Arabidopsis thaliana: one gene and its partner. The protein of the gene in region 1 interacts with the protein of each later gene in a pairwise test. Each region holds a gene or a part of one and is shown in the gene's direction. Other genes may lie near its edges.

Region 1 (4,776 bases):
GTGTTTGTATCTATATATGTCTTCTTATCTCTAGATGTGAACTTATCTTGTAGCCACATTAACTTAATGTGTATCGCATTCTAATCTTGCAGGATGTGATTCCACATATGGCACAAGAATACAACTTTGAGTATGAGCTGATTACATACAAATGGCCGTCCTGGTTGCATAAACAGAAAGAAAAGCAACGAATTATTTGGGCCTACAAAATTCTTTTCCTTGATGTCATATTTCCTCTCTCATTGGAAAAGGTACAGATGATCATATTTTCATTTCTTTCTTGCGATTTTGATGCTTGGAAGATGTCACTATAAGGTATTCGACATGTGTTCTGTAGGTTATATTTGTCGACGCAGATCAAATTATAAGGACAGACATGGGAGAACTGTATGATATGGATATTAAAGGAAGACCTCTCGCGTATACTCCTTTTTGTGACAACAACAGGGAAATGGATGGCTATAAATTTTGGAAACAGGTAAACATTAATCTTTTTGTTTTGCTTGTAGAGGTAGTTTTGGTTTCCATACTCTTACATTCTCAATTGCTTTGAACAGGGTTTCTGGAAAGAACATTTACGTGGTAGGCCATACCATATCAGGTAAAAAAACCTACTTGAACCTCAGTAAGTTGTTGCTTTTCCCATTCTTAATGTGCCTTGTTCTATCTGTAGTGCTCTATACGTTGTTGACTTGGTTAAGTTCCGAGAGACAGCGGCAGGAGATAATCTAAGAGTATTCTATGAGACGCTTAGCAAGGATCCAAACAGTTTGTCCAACCTAGATCAGGCAAGTTGTATAATATGGTTCTCTATACTTAGGGCTGTAACCTTTCTTTGGTGGTCACACTATCGTTTTACTTTATTTGAAAGGCTTTTGCATTTGACTCTTACCATACACCATGCTCTGAATCTTTAGAGTTCCAGGTTCAAACATATTGATGGCATGTCATTATTTTGTTTCAGGATCTTCCTAATTATGCTCAGCATACTGTTCCTATATTTTCACTTCCCCAAGAGTGGTTGTGGTGTGAATCCTGGTGTGGAAACGCCACAAAAGCCAAGGCCAGAACAATCGATCTTTGCAATAATCCCATGACAAAGGAACCAAAGCTTCAGGTAAAATGATGGCTTTCCTCATATCTACAACACTCACAAAGCGTTGTTTGTTATAATGCGGTGTTCTTCTGCAGGGTGCCCGAAGAATCGTAACCGAATGGCCCGATCTTGATCTCGAAGCACGAAAATTCACAGCAAAAATCTTGGGTGAAGATGTGGAACTCAACGAGCCAGTAGCTGCTCCTGCTACAGACAAGCCTAATCCTCTTCCATCAAATGACATCTCTGAAGATACAGAACAAGACTTGGAATCTAAAGCAGAACTGTAAATTCAATGCTCCTGAAGTTTCAAAAGAGGAGAAGATAAATTAGACAATCATGGCTATTTTGCATTTGCTAGATAAGGTTTCTAGTTTTGTAGCTACAGTTTCTTAGACATCTCTCACATAAATTAGACAGAAGATAAAGTCAACAGATTGCAGGAGAATAAGAATATCAGTATAATATGATTTTGAATCAATTACAAACATAGTCACTCATAACGTATTTGTAAACTCGTCCGTCCAAAATCTCAAATCAAACCAAACCGACAAACCAGTAAAAAAACCGAACCGGAAAACTGACGTGTCAGTGTCTGTATAAAAAGCAATACGTGTTCTTTTAGCAAAGGGTCTGACACTCTGATAGAAAAGCTGAAGTAATTCAATAAATTATTTTAGAAGAGGGAAGAAATCTACGGTTTTACAAGGGGACGTTATTTATTAATGGATTTTAATAGAAAGAAATCCAACACTAATACACTGTTATTTAATTAATGATTTTAAATTCAATTTTAAAATTTAGTGTTATTGGAGTTTATATCTTTGTAAATCATGTTTAATAGATTTTAAAATTTTGTGTTATTCAATTAAAAGATTTTAATACCGTCAAAAAAAAAAAAAAAAAAACAAACTAAAAGGATTTTAAATTTTATTTCTAAATTAGAGAAGAATCCAGAGGAATTAATTTTCACCACTTTTCTCTTCTTATATATAAGTCAATCCCCGAAGTAACATTTTTGACACAGTTTTCAATTCTTCAGCAGACAGATCGATCACACTCCATCGATTCCGTATGAAACCCTAGATTTCTGCAACTGAATTCCTAATTCGAAAAAGAATGGAGGGTTCGTCGTCGACGATAGCAAGGAAGACATGGGAACTAGAGAACAGCATTCTAACAGTAGACTCACCTGATTCAACCTCCGACAACATCTTCTACTACGACGATACTTCACAGACTAGGTTCCAGCAAGAGAAACCGTGGGAGAATGATCCTCACTACTTTAAACGAGTCAAGATCTCAGCGCTCGCTCTTCTTAAGATGGTGGTTCACGCTCGCTCTGGTGGTACAATTGAAATAATGGGTCTTATGCAAGGTAAGACCGATGGTGATACTATCATTGTTATGGATGCTTTTGCTTTACCAGTGGAAGGTACTGAGACAAGGGTTAATGCTCAGGATGATGCTTATGAGTACATGGTTGAGTATTCACAGACCAACAAGCTCGTAAGTGAGATTCAAGAAACTTCAAAGTTTTGATTTTTTTCTTTAGAAAGTTTGTATATAAGTCAGAACAGTTTGATTGATTATGGTTATAATAACTTGACCTTTATAAGGCGGGGCGGCTGGAGAATGTTGTTGGATGGTATCACTCTCACCCTGGATATGGATGCTGGCTCTCCGGTATTGATGTTTCTACGCAGAGGCTTAACCAACAGCATCAGGAGCCATTTTTAGCTGTTGTTATTGATCCCACAAGGACTGTTTCAGCTGGTAAGGTTGAGATTGGTGCTTTCAGAACATACTCTAAAGGATATAAGCCTCCAGATGAACCTGTTTCTGAGTATCAAACTATTCCTTTAAATAAGATTGAGGACTTTGGTGTTCACTGCAAACAGGTACATTTTCTTGATTTTTCTCGGTGCAAGGTCCCAACATGATTCTTATGTTTGGCTTTTGGTTTTGGCAGTACTATTCATTAGATGTCACTTATTTCAAGTCATCTCTTGATTCTCACCTTCTGGATCTACTATGGAACAAGTACTGGGTGAACACTCTTTCTTCTTCTCCACTGCTGGGTAATGGAGACTATGTTGCTGGACAAATATCAGACTTAGGTAAACTCTTGGATATGGCCTAAATCATTCACTCTTACTTTTTTTTCTCAAGTCACAGTCAAGTAATGTGTTATATAATCGTTTTCGTAATTTTACCAATGAAGCTGAGAAGCTTGAGCAAGCCGAGAGTCATCTGGTTCAGTCTCGCTTTGGAGGAGTTGTGCCATCATCCCTTCATAAGAAAAAAGAGGTATGTCCTAGTGGTTCATCAAATTTTAATTGCGATTACGGTGGCTAGTTAAGTGCCTCTGTAAACATCTAGCTACTAAGAGGATATATCTTCAAATGTTTTGGTTATTGGGACCTGGAGGTGTTCTGTTTAGTTGAAATGAAAGTGTTGTTGAAGGTTGTACAGATATATAACTTTCGAGAATGTTAATGGGTGTTGCTTGTTAAAGATCTCATTTGACGTGTGTTCTAAATCACTTTCAGGATGAGTCTCAACTAACTAAGATAACTCGGGATAGCGCAAAGATAACTGTGGAACAGGTCCATGGACTAATGTCGCAGGTGAGTAATAATATTGAAACGAAATGGTGACATATCTCCCTTAAGGTTCGTGTATTTCACAGACTCAAAATCCATCATTGTTGTACTTGTAGGTCATAAAAGATGAATTATTCAACTCAATGCGTCAGTCCAACAACAAATCTCCCACTGACTCGTCGGATCCAGACCCTATGATTACATATTGAAGTTGCTCTTCTTTTGGTTTCTAGTTTTGGATTGACCCATCATTTGTTGTCCTTTCATTTATTTTCTGTTGTGTAAAGAATTATAATGCTAATGAGAATAATACAGAAGAAGATTTTGGTTAAAGAAATGTTTTTAAGCCCATTCGATTCGTCGGGGTTAAAGGAATAATCTTAAGCCCTTAAACAAAAATTGTATTTATGGAAATCAGAAACCTAGTGATCTTTTCCAACTCTATCCCCTCTCTCTTTCCTTCTCTGCACTCACGTTGTCCGTGAATAGGTGGTACTAAAACATGGCTAACAATGGCAATCATCTTTCTCTGTCTTTGTTTGTTGATGAAAAGTGTTCCTTATGGGACTGTCGACGACGACGCCCACAAGGAGCTATGTACTGCCAACCTGACCATCTTCAACAAGCTTATCAAGAACGCACTTCACACAACATGGCAAACTTATACACTTGAAGACGTAGTATTGCGGAGAATCTTAGAAAGCCTTAGTTATCCGGAGCTTCGTGGAAGTCCGGGGATACCAAACCTTCAAGAAAACAGTCAGTTATTGTCTATAGCTCCGCACGGATATGTTTCCTACAAATTTGACATGTAGCGAGAAACATAGCATATGGCTGTTTCTCGCGCTGTTCGTGCCCGACCAAGGGGTTTGGAAACTGGTTAAAGAACGGCATCGAAGGAACTATGTACGTGATAAATTTATACCACGTTTTGCTATGAACAATGGTTCAACATGGGAGCTATATAGGTTTACAGTGAAAAGTGACTCTGTAGCCTTTTTCACTATGGAATATCGCAAACCCTTGCTTCTTGGGGTGGAGGATCTCAGCCTTTTTGATGATGATGTTGATGAT
Region 2 (3,530 bases), on another chromosome or scaffold:
CATTTTAAATTATACGTTTGAATAACTAACTTACAAAAAAAAAAACAATAAATTTCAGCTTTTTGTCCATAAATTTATTCCAAAGAAAAACTACTATATATTGTGATGTATAAACAAATGTCAAGGGTATGTGATGCTGCTGCCTGTCGCAGACCGAAAGCGACACAACTTACCTTTTTTGATAACATACCAAACTATATAATTGATCGCGTTCATTTTCCGAAAATATATGCCGAATGCGGCGGGGCTATAAATAATAGTTTGATCGATCGGCTTGTTTATCATCCATACTCAAGGCCTCGAATTAACACTTCTTTGTCACATCGTCGATGGAACGAGTAAGAGATTTGGCATCGGAGAAGGCGGCTGTGATATTCACGAAGAGCTCGTGTTGCATGTGTCATAGCATCAAGACTCTCTTCTACGAACTCGGGGCGAGTCCTGCCATCCATGAGCTTGACAAGGACCCGCAAGGCCCTGACATGGAACGGGCCCTCTTCCGGGTATTCGGGTCTAACCCTGCTGTCCCTGCGGTTTTCGTAGGAGGAAGGTACGTCGGCTCAGCTAAAGACGTCATCTCCTTCCACGTGGATGGCTCCCTCAAGCAGATGTTAAAGGCCTCTAACGCCATATGGTTGTGACTACATATCATCACGCTTCTTACTATCATTTATTCTACACACACTAGTTCATATTATGTCATCTCGTGAATAATACATACATATATTTATCTAAGCTTGCATGAATATTGAATTATACTTTTAGTAACCATATATATAGAAGATTATGCATGCTCCGATGCTCGTGGAGATTAATTATCAGTTGATACGGAGAAACTAGACTGTAATCAATCATCACGTAAAGATTTCTGTTAATATCGGAATATCATCTGGATTTAGCATAATATCTTCCGATTATAGAAAAAAATGTACGTAGTATAATACCTAACCGATATACAAATGAATATCGAACGTAACTATGCTATAACTAGTATATATATGATCGTTTTTGAATCAAACATAAAAGAGAATCTCGCTCATGAAAAGATTACTACACCCACAAAACAATCGAAAAGTAAGCCAAGAATGACGCAGCAGAGTTAACATATGCGTGTGATTCACGCGTGCGTCCGGCAAGAAAGACATTTCGAGAGAAGTGAATCAAACATTAGTGTAAGTGTGAAAGAAGAATATATAAAAAAGAAAGATGGAATAATTTTCTTTGGCAAGTTGGTGTTGGCGGAATCACCATGTACGATGCATATTGTTGATACATATATATACATGTTTATCACCGAAAGGTCCAATCTTTTTCATTTATCCTCACTTTGCGCAATGACTCAATCAAAGGAGATATGTTGAGAGAATCCGTTAGATTATAAATTGACAAGCCTCTTTTCTTTTTCTAGGGGTATTAATCATGCTATATTTCTTGTCACATTGATTTGAATATCAGCAGTTTAAGAAAATCGCTTAGCCAAAAGTTATTAAGAAATCGTCTGATTTCTATCATTGTTGTAATCAATTTGATAAGCTAGCTTCAACTTTCATATCTATGTTAGTGTTTCAAAATTACTATCATATGCATTCCGTTCATACTTATTTCATCAATTAGTCCATGCATGCATGTGCTTATTATTTAGATTAATTATATTTATGTCACTGGCAATGCGTATACTATTATTAACCCACAAAAAGGTGAAACTGATTACAATTTTTCGAATCGTATTCGTAAATTACTAATCAACATGTTATGACGATCAAAACAACTGCAGCGTTACCGTAGAAATAAAAATAAATTGAATAACTTAGAAGTGAGAGTAATGTTTGCAACTTGTGCAGTCAAACAGAATATAAATAAGAAGAAAAATTCTCAAATAGGCATCTGATATTTTATCTTTCCTTTTTGATATTTTCTTAGAAATAAACTACATTTTAAATGGTCTTTTCTTTCTAATTAGCAAGAAAAAAACACACTCGAAAGACTCACTCCCTTCCTATAAATAGGCGAGCAAATGTCAAGCTTTTTACATACTCAAAACAAAACAAAACATACATCAAAACGCTAAAGTTTAAACCCCTAGCCATCATCAGATCTTCAGACTTCTGAGGATCATGGACAAAGTGATGAGAATGTCTTCAGAGAAAGGAGTGGTGATCTTCACGAAGAGCTCATGTTGTCTCTGCTACGCCGTTCAAATCCTGTTCCGTGACCTTAGGGTTCAACCAACCATCCACGAGATCGACAACGACCCGGACTGCCGTGAGATCGAGAAGGCTCTTCTCCGGCTCGGCTGTTCCACGGCGGTTCCAGCTGTCTTTGTCGGAGGCAAGCTTGTTGGCTCCACCAATGAAGTCATGTCCCTTCACCTTAGTGGCTCTCTTGTCCCATTGATCAAACCCTATCAGTCCATCCTTTACTAGCAAAATTAAACCAACTCAATATATAATATCTAATTATTAGCTAGTGAGAATAAACACAGTTACAGCTAGAGTGTGAGCTAGCTAGATATTCAGTGAGGACTTCGTCTGAATTAATGTTTATCGTTTGTATGTTCTATTGTTTAGCTTCTCTCGTGTTTCAGTTTAGTTAATCAACTGGTGTATGTTGATGTATGACTCTCTGTTTATGCTAATGAAAATAGTATTGAAACTTTTACATTTTTTCCCACACAATTAGTAACGATCTCTTGTGTATGTTGAGTAATTTAGGGCTTTCCATATAATAAGGCAAGAAACCGTTTATACTTGTCTGTTTTTAACATGGTATCAGAAGGAGGCTACACACAAACCATTTTCTTATTTAGAAATATTCACATACACTGACAGTAGCTAGAATAAAAATGTGAATGGCCAACACATGCATGAACTCGTCTTCTAATTATCAAGATGTAATGTATAAGTTGGCTTCATCATTATTAGTTAGACCTATTGATAGTTAACATTATATCGGGCGATATACAGATTTAGCCTTTGTGATGTTGTGTTTAGAGCGTACTTTTGAATCAAGGATAAATCAGTGCCCATTAGAGTATATATAAATCGAATGTGAAAAATATTAGATCAGAATAGACTTAATTAGTCTCCACCATACAAATTTGGTAAGAAGAAAAACAATGATAAGATACCAGTGGCCTAATGCAACTAAAGCAGTTTGAGGAAGAGGATGGAAGATCTTTCGCGGTCCAAGTATATCATGGCTACACAAAATCACTGCTCTTTTTGCGTTCCTTTATTCTTGAGTATCTTCACGTTTAATTTACTATTATTTTCTAATGAAAAATTGTACACCTTTTTATATATATGAACTCTTTGTTTTTTCGTTAGTTGCTCGTGTAGTAAATTAAACATATATGCTCATAATCAATAAAAACATACAATGTTAGAAGAAAAAAATACAATTTTTTTTACTAACGAATCATATGAATAGTTGTTTTATATACGGTACATTAACGATCCTCTCATCAGCTTTATAGATAACGAAGCATATTATTCTCCTTAGTTCCGCTTTTTATCACTTGAGATTAAACT

The links. The genes of interacting proteins can lie anywhere in the genome.
Region 2: the proteins of CSN5B (region 1) and AT2G47880 interact in binary tests that used the Arabidopsis thaliana proteins (3 or more experiments, as listed by UniProt).

Annotation. Positions count from the first base shown.
Region 1 is NC_003070.9:26,850,345-26,855,120, forward strand, and holds CSN5B (COP9-signalosome 5B), read left to right. Parts: upstream 1-2,061; 5' UTR 2,062-2,215; coding exon 2,216-2,605; intron 2,606-2,715; coding exon 2,716-2,997; intron 2,998-3,068; coding exon 3,069-3,216; intron 3,217-3,320; coding exon 3,321-3,406; intron 3,407-3,648; coding exon 3,649-3,726; intron 3,727-3,818; coding exon 3,819-3,911; 3' UTR 3,912-4,075; downstream 4,076-4,776. Other genes in the region: EBS1 (EMS-MUTAGENIZED BRI1 SUPPRESSOR 1), read left to right, coding at 93-251, 338-478, 558-601, 674-788, 965-1,117, 1,192-1,386; AT1G71235 (uncharacterized protein), read left to right, coding at 4,215-4,461, 4,679-4,776. UniProt on the Arabidopsis thaliana protein: Probable protease subunit of the COP9 signalosome complex (CSN), a complex involved in various cellular and developmental processes such as photomorphogenesis and auxin and jasmonate responses.
Region 2 is NC_003071.7:19,603,010-19,606,539, forward strand, and holds AT2G47880 (Glutaredoxin family protein), read left to right. Parts: upstream 1-2,020; 5' UTR 2,021-2,114; coding exon 2,115-2,423; 3' UTR 2,424-2,695; downstream 2,696-3,530. Other genes in the region: AT2G47870 (Thioredoxin superfamily protein), read left to right, coding at 330-641; AT2G47885 (uncharacterized protein), read right to left, coding at 2,222-2,359. UniProt on the Arabidopsis thaliana protein: Has a glutathione-disulfide oxidoreductase activity in the presence of NADPH and glutathione reductase. Reduces low molecular weight disulfides and proteins.